2 linked regions of the Arabidopsis thaliana genome follow. The protein of the gene in region 1 interacts with the protein of each later gene in a pairwise test. Each region holds a gene or a part of one and is shown on either strand. Other genes may lie near its edges.

What was found.
Region 2: the proteins of CAN (region 1) and CYSB interact in binary tests that used the Arabidopsis thaliana proteins (3 or more experiments, as listed by UniProt).

The regions. Positions count from the first base shown.
Region 1 is NC_003074.8:20,840,207-20,845,077, reverse strand, and holds CAN (Ca-2+ dependent nuclease), read right to left. Parts: upstream 2,934-4,871; 5' UTR 2,816-2,933; intron 2,658-2,815; 5' UTR 2,465-2,657; coding exon 2,348-2,464; intron 2,174-2,347; coding exon 2,118-2,173; intron 2,030-2,117; coding exon 1,915-2,029; intron 1,816-1,914; coding exon 1,705-1,815; intron 1,618-1,704; coding exon 1,430-1,617; intron 1,325-1,429; coding exon 1,268-1,324; intron 1,181-1,267; coding exon 952-1,180; intron 858-951; coding exon 759-857; 3' UTR 541-758; downstream 1-540. Other genes in the region: AT3G56180 (LURP-one-like protein (DUF567)), read right to left, coding at 59-313; AT3G56160 (Sodium Bile acid symporter family), read left to right, coding at 3,537-3,779, 3,832-3,925, 4,175-4,282, 4,423-4,490, 4,681-4,759. UniProt on the Arabidopsis thaliana protein: Enzyme that catalyzes the hydrolysis of both DNA and RNA at the 5' position of the phosphodiester bond. Possesses activity toward the single-stranded DNA, double-stranded DNA and RNA. May be involved in genomic DNA degradation during programmed cell death.
Region 2 is NC_003074.8:3,959,856-3,963,956, forward strand, and holds CYSB (cystatin B), read right to left. Parts: upstream 2,066-4,101; 5' UTR 2,022-2,065; coding exon 1,821-2,021; intron 1,576-1,820; coding exon 1,356-1,575; intron 1,237-1,355; coding exon 1,091-1,236; intron 1,071-1,090; exon of another isoform or gene 956-1,070; coding exon of another isoform or gene 947-955; exon of another isoform or gene 806-946; coding exon 668-805; 3' UTR 546-667; downstream 1-545. Other genes in the region: NF-YC11 (nuclear factor Y, subunit C11), read left to right, coding at 1-423; HCHIB (basic chitinase), read right to left, coding at 2,646-3,193, 3,670-4,101.

The sequences.
Region 1 (4,871 bases):
TTCAAGAAAGAGTCATTTTTATATGTATGTTTGTTGAAAAATTAAAATGTTTTGTAACCTTTTGACGCATTGAGAGGATTGTGAAACCGGCTGGATCACGCATAACTCTTTTACGGTTAAACCCCCAAGCTTGTCCATCAATTTGTAGGAGCAGATTCCCACTTGGATCAAACACTTCATAATAATCTTTAGAAAAATTCTGAACTTTTCTCTTCACCAAAAGATCCATTGGGTATGGATTACAGAATTGATCGCTCACTACGCTTATCGCGGGATCTCCTACTTGCCATTCTGTTTTTTTATTCTTCGGCATTTTCGAATAAAGTTCAAGAAGAAGACGAAGAAGAAGATTGCAAAAGACTATGAAAGGCTCTTTATTTAGAGCCCTTGATAATCCTCCTGATGATGAAGAATTATCAAAAACACCTCTTCACATTTTCTTAAAACAATATATCAACTAAAAACAAATTTGAAATTGTAAGATTGGTTTTTACTTTTTCAGACTTTTATTCTCAACCAAAGATTGTTAAACCCCAAAAATAAACTATGTACCCTTATATTTAGAAACGAAACAACTAAGCTAACTTCTGTCTCAAGGTTCAAAGAGAAATTCTCTATTGCCAAAAAAATACTTGTCAATACATAAAACATATACATACTTCTCTTACAATTACAACAACAGATCACAAGTTCTTTAATTCACAATAATCATATAATCGAATAGTATTGTATTGTTGTTTTTATTGGTTTTGTTATCATTAATTGCCTCCACGTTTGTTCTTTCTCCACTCCCATGGCTTCTCTGGATTAGAAGATGCCCACAAGCCAACGCGCTTTTGCCTAGCCTCATTTTCCCACTGAATTCAAAACACCAAAACAAACCGTTAAACATCAGAAGGAATAATCAAAGAAAATTGTAAATGAAAAGCACAAAGGTTTATAAAAGCTTGCCTTTGCGAGCTCTGCACGCTTGTCATAGGCTACATAATGCCAAGCAAGACCTTTCTTTAGCATTACTTCCTGTACAAATTTTCCATTGCAGTATATATCTCCTACACATCTTCCATAACGATCCTCTGTATATACTAACACCTTCAAGCATTTCCCTTCAACCATCTTGAGTAGCTCATCATGCGCCTCTTTTCCATACGGCATTTTGCTCTCCGGTGAATCTATTCCGCTGATTCATTTTCATTCCAAATTTTTAACTCTACATATAGCTTTTGATTGAATATGAGGTTCTCTCTAGAGTGGAAGAGTGTTTTACCTTAGTCTAATTCTGAACTTTTTAGCAAGCACTTCCTCATTCTGAAAACTTATCATCCTAAGTATAACATGAAAAAAAGGTTAGGAAAAATTATGAATTTCGTAGATCAATTTTGATTTGACTTTATAATCAACTTGTGAAGTATATCAATAAAACACAAACCTGTAACCAGAAGCTATGATCGTCTTGTGAAGTGCATCTGCTTCAGTATAATTCTTCTTCTCACGCGCTTTGGCTCTTTTAACCGCTGCAAGACTCACGTCCTTAGGAAGAGAAGATGACACAAGCGGGTCTTTGCTACTAACATACACAGTAACAGTATCACCATCTGCCACAGATTTTGTATCCACCTTATTTCATTTAGAAAATTTCTTGATCAGCAGCAACAACATTACCATCATATCCCAAACCTTTTAAAGATTCGTAAGTTTTCTAACCGGAAGCGTGTTAAGCTCAAACCGAACTCCTTTAGGTAAAGACACAGGAGCTTCCGTAGGGACCTCAACGAGATTGTGAGGTGAAGGTAGTCCATAGAAAGACAAAAGTCCCTGTCAATGCCATTAACAAGTCAACTATATCAATAATGCATCCTCCAAAACTCCTTGACATTTTTGCAACTTGAAAGAACCATCATGATTAGTTAATACCTCAACATCTGCTTTTTGATGGTTCTTTAGAGCCGCGATAACAAGCCTGGAGGCTTCCTCAGGAGTTTTAGGCCGAGGCTTAGCTTGCTTCCATGCCTCAAGTATTTTTCTATACCTTCAAATTAAAACATGTTTTGGAAGAAAAAGACATTAAAATATGAACATTTTCAAATCTTTATAGACAACATTAGCATGATCTGTACCAGTTTGCTTGAGCCTTTTGGGAAGACACAACGTAACTCCCAAGCTTCTCAGGAACCTAGAATAAAATGAATCTTTAGATCCTGATCAATCTCTTAAGCAAAATTTTAAATGAATCTATTGATTTACACAATTCACAGTGAGTTTCAAACCAGAGCTAAAGAACAAATCCAAGACTAAAATATTAGCTGTAGAAAAAAGAAAATTTAGGAGAATAACAATGGAGAGAGACCTGAGAAGTGGTCTCGAAGTTTAAGAGATCACGAGAAAGAGCTGAGACGCCGCCGGAAGAGGCGGAGACGCCGTGAGAATTCAAGCATTTCCGGAGTAACCTAATCGCGTTACCCATTTCTTAGATTTGATTTTCAACAAAAAAAGGAAAGAAAGAGTTTTGATCTTTCTTCCTTGATCTCGTGTGAAAGTCTTTGATTCAGTTATATGGAGCAGAGAGATTGTTTATCGAACAAGCGAAGTCATACGTGGCGGTTTGTTATTGGGTAAGAAGCTAATGTGATCAAAATAATTGTTTTATATTGTTTTTTCTTGCAATCTAAAAAGTATTAGGTGCCTTGTCGTAATCAGGATTTGACGACTTTTTGTTAAACTCCTCACAAGTCACAAGCTTGGGGTTTAAGCAATCTTAATGGTGCATTGAGTTTTTCTACAGCTCAAAATATCTCTTCTATGGTCTGCTTAGCACTTTTTTTTTTTTTTTTTCTTTCTTGAGCAGGGCCCGTAATTTGGTATTTTTGGCTTATAAATGCTAGTTCTGATTGCATTTTTATTTCTTTTAAGTAGTTTAGGAGAACTAGATTCCTTAAAAATATTTATGGACATACGAATTATATACAGTTGATTCAACGGATCTATAAATTGTGGAATGAACATAATTTGAAAATAATTTTTTTTGCTTACAATTTAATTTGAGCAAATGGGCTATATAACACAAATGTACTTCATTACTACATACATTGGACATATTCTGCTCATCAATGCCATGTGAGAGGGGATATGAATGTTGGTGATACAATTAAAATAATAATAATGCACTTGAAATAAGTGAGATTAATTTACTTGGGTTCGCTCTCCTTTAGCCTTTATGTTTAATTTTATGCCCTCTGATTTGGCCCAATGTATCTACTCCAATATTGGGTTTAGACCCAATTGTTTGTTTGAGGCTGAAAGACAAACTCATTGTGATTGGTTCAAATTGAAAATGAATATTCCTATATTTTTTGAGTTAAAAGAATAAATAAATAACAGGAGCCAGTGGTAGTGGGAAGCTAGACAGGAAGTGGTTCCGATAAGCCGGAGTTTGTTTAAACTGAGAGAGATACTTGAGAACTGAGTAATGCAGAACTAAGCAGCCAAACTTTGATCATTCTTCTGCTCACTTTTGGATTCTAATTCTCTCTACTCCCATGGCGATAGCTAGTACCCTGGCTTCAACCCAAAACCCCTTTCTATGTCTCCGTCAACCACCGTCTCCGGGGAACCGCTCCGTCGTCTTCCGTCGCTGTCAAGACCCCTGTGGTAGACGATGGATTTCCAGATCCATTAGAGCATGCCAACCTTCCGACAAGGTCTCTGGTCAATTTCCATTCGATTTTATGTATTCTTCTATGCTTATTCCAAGTTCGTGTGGAGAATGGAATCGGATTCATGTAAATGATCAAACTTTATTGTGAATGTGGAGATTTTTTTTTGTGTTCACAGCTTGGTGGTGACGGAGGCATTTCAGCTTCAGCTCAAAGATTATATTTTGGCAAGGAATTGCTGAGTTTTGCTTCAGATAATTTCTTGCCTCTAGGTAACATTACACATTGCTCTTGCCCTTTTTTTCCTTTCCAATTTTCCACGTAATCCTCATTTTCCCTAACGATTCTTGAGATGAAAGTTTAGGCTAGATCTTTTAAAGTCTGATGACAAGGTTGACTGCATCAAAATTCAATTTTCCATGAAGATTACTTATCACTTTAATGTGATGCTTCTAGTGACCTCTTATGCCTCACTTTGTTACTTTTGACATTTCAATTTCATGTTGTGCTTTGTTGGTTAGCTCTTGTTAGTGGAGTGGGGTTGGGCTTTGCAAATCCGACTCTAGGCTGTCTTGCAGACAAGTACTCTTTCACTAAGATCAGCACATGCGGGATATTTATTATATCAGGTGATTCTATCAGCTGTGGCATAAGTGTACAATTGCTTTGTTCTTCTTCTTTTTCTATGTTAAAGGGTGATGGAAGCAATCACTTTGTTTCTGTCGAATAGCTTATCAAATGTGTACTCTTTTCATGTATTGTGGAGCAGGGTTGACTTTACGTACCGAAGCGATTGGTGCTGCTGTCAAAGGGTGGCCTCTTGGACTCTTTGGGCTAGTATGATCTTGACTCATCTTTAGCTTTCATATGTTCTGTGAATGTTTCCTCTTCTGTAGATCTCTTCTGCTAAGTTCTGAAAATAAGAAAATCTAATGAATAGAAACCTTTTGGTAATGCTTTTCCTTTTTTTAACTCCTGTTAGTTATACTACATACTTAAACGCAAACTATTTCTCTTTTTCTTTCAGATCTCTATTTTGTTGCTCACTCCATCCTTCTCAAGGCTAATTATGTTGGTCCAACTCCAACCTCGTGAACTTGTTACAGGTTACTCTTTCTCTATCTTAAACTTAGTGTCAAGTAAAACTTCAAAGACCACGTTCTTTCCTGAACTTGTTACTGCTTATATTGTATCGGCTTCCATTGATTTACATTACAT
Region 2 (4,101 bases), about 17 Mb from region 1:
GGTGGACGAGCTGCAAAAGCAGCCGAAAGAGAGGGTCTCAACCGCGAGATGGAAGTAGAAGCCGCCAATTCTGGACAGCCACCACCAGAAGACAATGTCAAGATGCATGCGTCAGAGTCATCACCACAAGAGGATGAGAAGAAAGGCATCGACGGCACAGCAGCATCGAACGAAGACACCAAGCAACACCTTCAAAGTCCCAAAGAAGGCATTGACTTTGATCTCAACGCTGAATCCCTCGACCTAAACGAGACCAAACTGGCACCAGCCACAGGCACAACCACAACCACAACTGCAGCAACAGACTCTGAGGAGTATTCGGGCTGGCCTATGATGGACATAAGCAAAATGGATCCAGCACAGCTTGCTAGTCTGGGTAAGAGGATAGACGAGGATGAGGAAGATTATGACGAAGAAGGCTAAGTCATAACAGCACTATAGGATATATAGAGTAGCAGCGTTTAGCAGTTTGTCTAGAAAATGCTTCTTCTGTCATCAAAATCTTCTCCTGTTTCCATTTATTGTATGAACCAAAGATTGCATGCACTCTATGAAACTTAATTTATTCTCCTGATTTGTTATTTAAGGTTTTAGAGTTTTACATCAGAAGTTAAAATATCTTACAGAGTAAGTAAACACTCAAAAGTACATAAACAAAGGAGAGGGACTAGTCATGGTGTTGCTCCGCGTGGTTGAGATGAAGAGCACCTTCATGGTTCTTGTGAACTTCCACCTTGAACTTTTCCTCTTTTTCTCCCCTCTTCAACTTCAGTAGCATGTTGTATTTTGCAGCCTCGCCGGTTACCTGTGTCCATGTTTTTAATATTAAGCTCATTAATCTTGTAATCACCAACTATTACAACTCAGACGTTAGTCCTCATACCAAGGAGAACCAATATGTTGCTTAAAGTCTTTTCTACTTCTAAAACTTCAACACCATTCGGTTTCACTGACACTTGATTTCGTTTATTTGCAATTTCTCAGATGAAATTCATGCAAAAACATTGTCAAAATCTGACAAGTTCTCTATTGAAATTCATTTTGTGCAATTAAGATCGAAGATAGAGTATATAGTAAATTAAAGCCATACCTCAGCTTTAGCATGCACAACCTCCAGAAGTTCATAAGGGAACAAGGAGTTAGACCTCTGCTGAATGGTCTTGACAGCCTGCTCAGCAACATGCTTCACTTCTGGATCATCTCCGGGAACTTCCCTCCATCCAGATTCATGTTCACCTGATCCACAAAACCCAATTTTCATAACCAAACTCTTTCCTAACCCACAATCTCTGACTTGCTACATATATATCCCCTGACATTATAATGTTCTTATCAGTAACTACTCAAATTCACACCTTGCTTGCAGCCAAGATCGGAGGAAGTGATAGCAGGGGCATCACTGGCAGGCTTGAACTCCTGTAACTCTTTAAAGTTCAACCACGGCTTGACCCACACTTTGGCTTCGTAAAGCTTCTTCTGTCCTGCCTCGAGAATCTCCAGAGTCAGGTGATGCAGTGTTCCGGCTACAACTTGTTCTTTCGCCTTCACAACTCTCGCAAACTCAAGAAGTGCATTCTACGACGACCAAAGACAGAACAAACCAAAAAATCAATCAATCAATCAATCCCACAACATGAACGCATTTCATCACCGAATAATATACACTCTCTAAGATCTGCTGGTAACTGAAATTGAGATCAATAGAGAAACTCCGGACAAAATTAGTCTAATCGTGTTCTGGATCAAGACTATAATAGCATAAAACACACATATCGAGACGAGAGATGTGAAAAAATCGAAGATGATGAGAGATTTGGAACCTCTTTCTTGTTGTGTTCATCGACAGCGAAACGAGCGAGGCTCTCAACCTCACCACTGTTCTGATTAGCAGGGACATCGCCAACACCTCCGACTAAAGCCATCTCTTCGTTGCAGAAGCCTAAATCACTGGCGATCAGAGAGGAAATGAAGAGGGATAGAGAGAAGAAAACAATGAAGAGTAAGAAACGGCTTCTCATCATTCTCACCTTTATTTGGTTCGGTGCCCTGTATTTTTAGATATTTTTCGTTTTACTCGTCGAATTGTTGATTTTATCCTCTACAGTTAATTCGCCGTGTACCGGATTAAGGTGTCCATTTGGTTTGATGTTGGTTTTGTTGGTACAGTTTTAAGTTTAGGCTCTGATTTATGAAAATATTCTTACGATTTAAAACAAAAAAGGTTTACATTTGATTGGATGCCAATTGAATCGAATCATTTGTAAGAAAAGAGTACCGATTCGAGTTATAGATTGGTTTGATTTGGCCTCAATCGGTTAAGCTACCAACATTTTAAATAGAAATTCATACCAATCTGGATTACACATGAAAACGTTGCTGAGGATAGCGGCACGTTATACGAAACGTGTCGGCAGAGTCACACAGAAATTGTCAAACACCTTTACTTGTAATCGAAGTTTAAAACATCTATGCACCTTTCTTCGTCTTTCTCTCATCTGCTAGAGAGCCCAATTAAAAAAGGCCCATGGGAAATAAAATCGCAACATAAACAGTGAAACATCATTGGAAAGAGTTTTATTAGTCTGATATTATTGTTTTGATAATACAAAGCTGCGTATTATATTATAATAATAATACTCTCGTTACTAAATAGCAGCTTCGAGGAGGCCGTTAACGAAGGATCTTTGGTTGTAACAATCAAGATTACCACCAGGATTAACACCAAATATGTTACAATACCTCTGATAAAACCCTATACGATCGGCGACTCTCCCGTCTTGGCCACGTCCACACTCCAATCCACCGTTAATGATGTTCGTAATCACTCCATAACCCGGTAATCTCCCGGCGGCACGGTCGGCGTCTGAAGGCTGCCACTGGCCGGCTATCACGGCATGGCAAGACGGTTTGGGAGGCTGAGCAGTCATCCAGAACCAAATCGCGGCTTTGAAAGCGATCACTGCGTCGTTGGCAACAAGGTCAGGGTTGTTGAGTAAGTCAACTCCTATTGCTCTACCGCATAGACCGTAATTGTAGTTCCACGACAGTTGCATTGGTCCTCTTCCGTAGTAGCGTTTGCCAGATGCGCATGGCCACGTGGCGCTCGGTTCACAGTAGTCTGAAGCAGGATTCTGTTCTTGCTTGAAACAGTAGCCCCATGAATATGGTCCGTCTGGTGCTGTAGCCCATCCACCTGCACGACGTAACCGTCCACTTAATTAATTAGTATATAGCTATATATATAGTCACAACTCACAAACTTGACATTATTCAAAAGTGTATAATTTGGAAACTGGAATATTCGTAAGTTCCTTGATTGGTTATTTGCGTTTAGATTAATCAAGAATTTCATATTTTTAAAATAGTTTTTTAATTGTAAACGCAAACATCTAAGACCAAAACATTTTTCTTTGCGTTTGGCGTTTTTGTTTGATTTTTTTCTTTCGTTTCTAAATATGAGAAGCTATAATTTTTTCAATAAAACATATATATATATATATATATATATATATAGTATAGTAGTTCTTTGTATATATGAGCACTTGGATCCAAAACTCTTTACAGAAGAAAAAAAGAACTTCAAATTCTGATGTTTTAATAATAAACACCAAAATTTAGCAATTGTGTTTTGAAACAATCTCCGTCAAATTGTTAATGAGTTTTGGGTACCTGTAGTTTCATGGGAAGTCTGGCCGAAGAAGGCGGCGACCTCCTTCTTCCTCGTGGCGGTGTCTCCGGTGGTGCCAAAACCGGGGAAGGACTTTGCAGCGGTGATAAAGGCGTTGTAAGTGTAGAAACCTCTAGCAGGACAAGCGGCATCATTCCTATGCTTAAGCATATCATCGAACTGAGAACTTGAAATGATGCCCGAAAGATCGCCGGTGGGTCCAGGAGGAGTACCACCGGGAGTGCACTGGCTTTGGCAGCCAGGCTGCTTACAGTATGGTTCGGTGTTACCGCACCAGCCGAACTCGCTGCAGCATAGACCGTTGGGGCAGAGTGCTCCTCCAGCTTGGCGACCACATTGCTCGGCCGAGGATAATGATAGGAGAAGTGAAAAGATGAGAAAGAGAAAAAGATTAGTCTTCATTTTGTTCAATG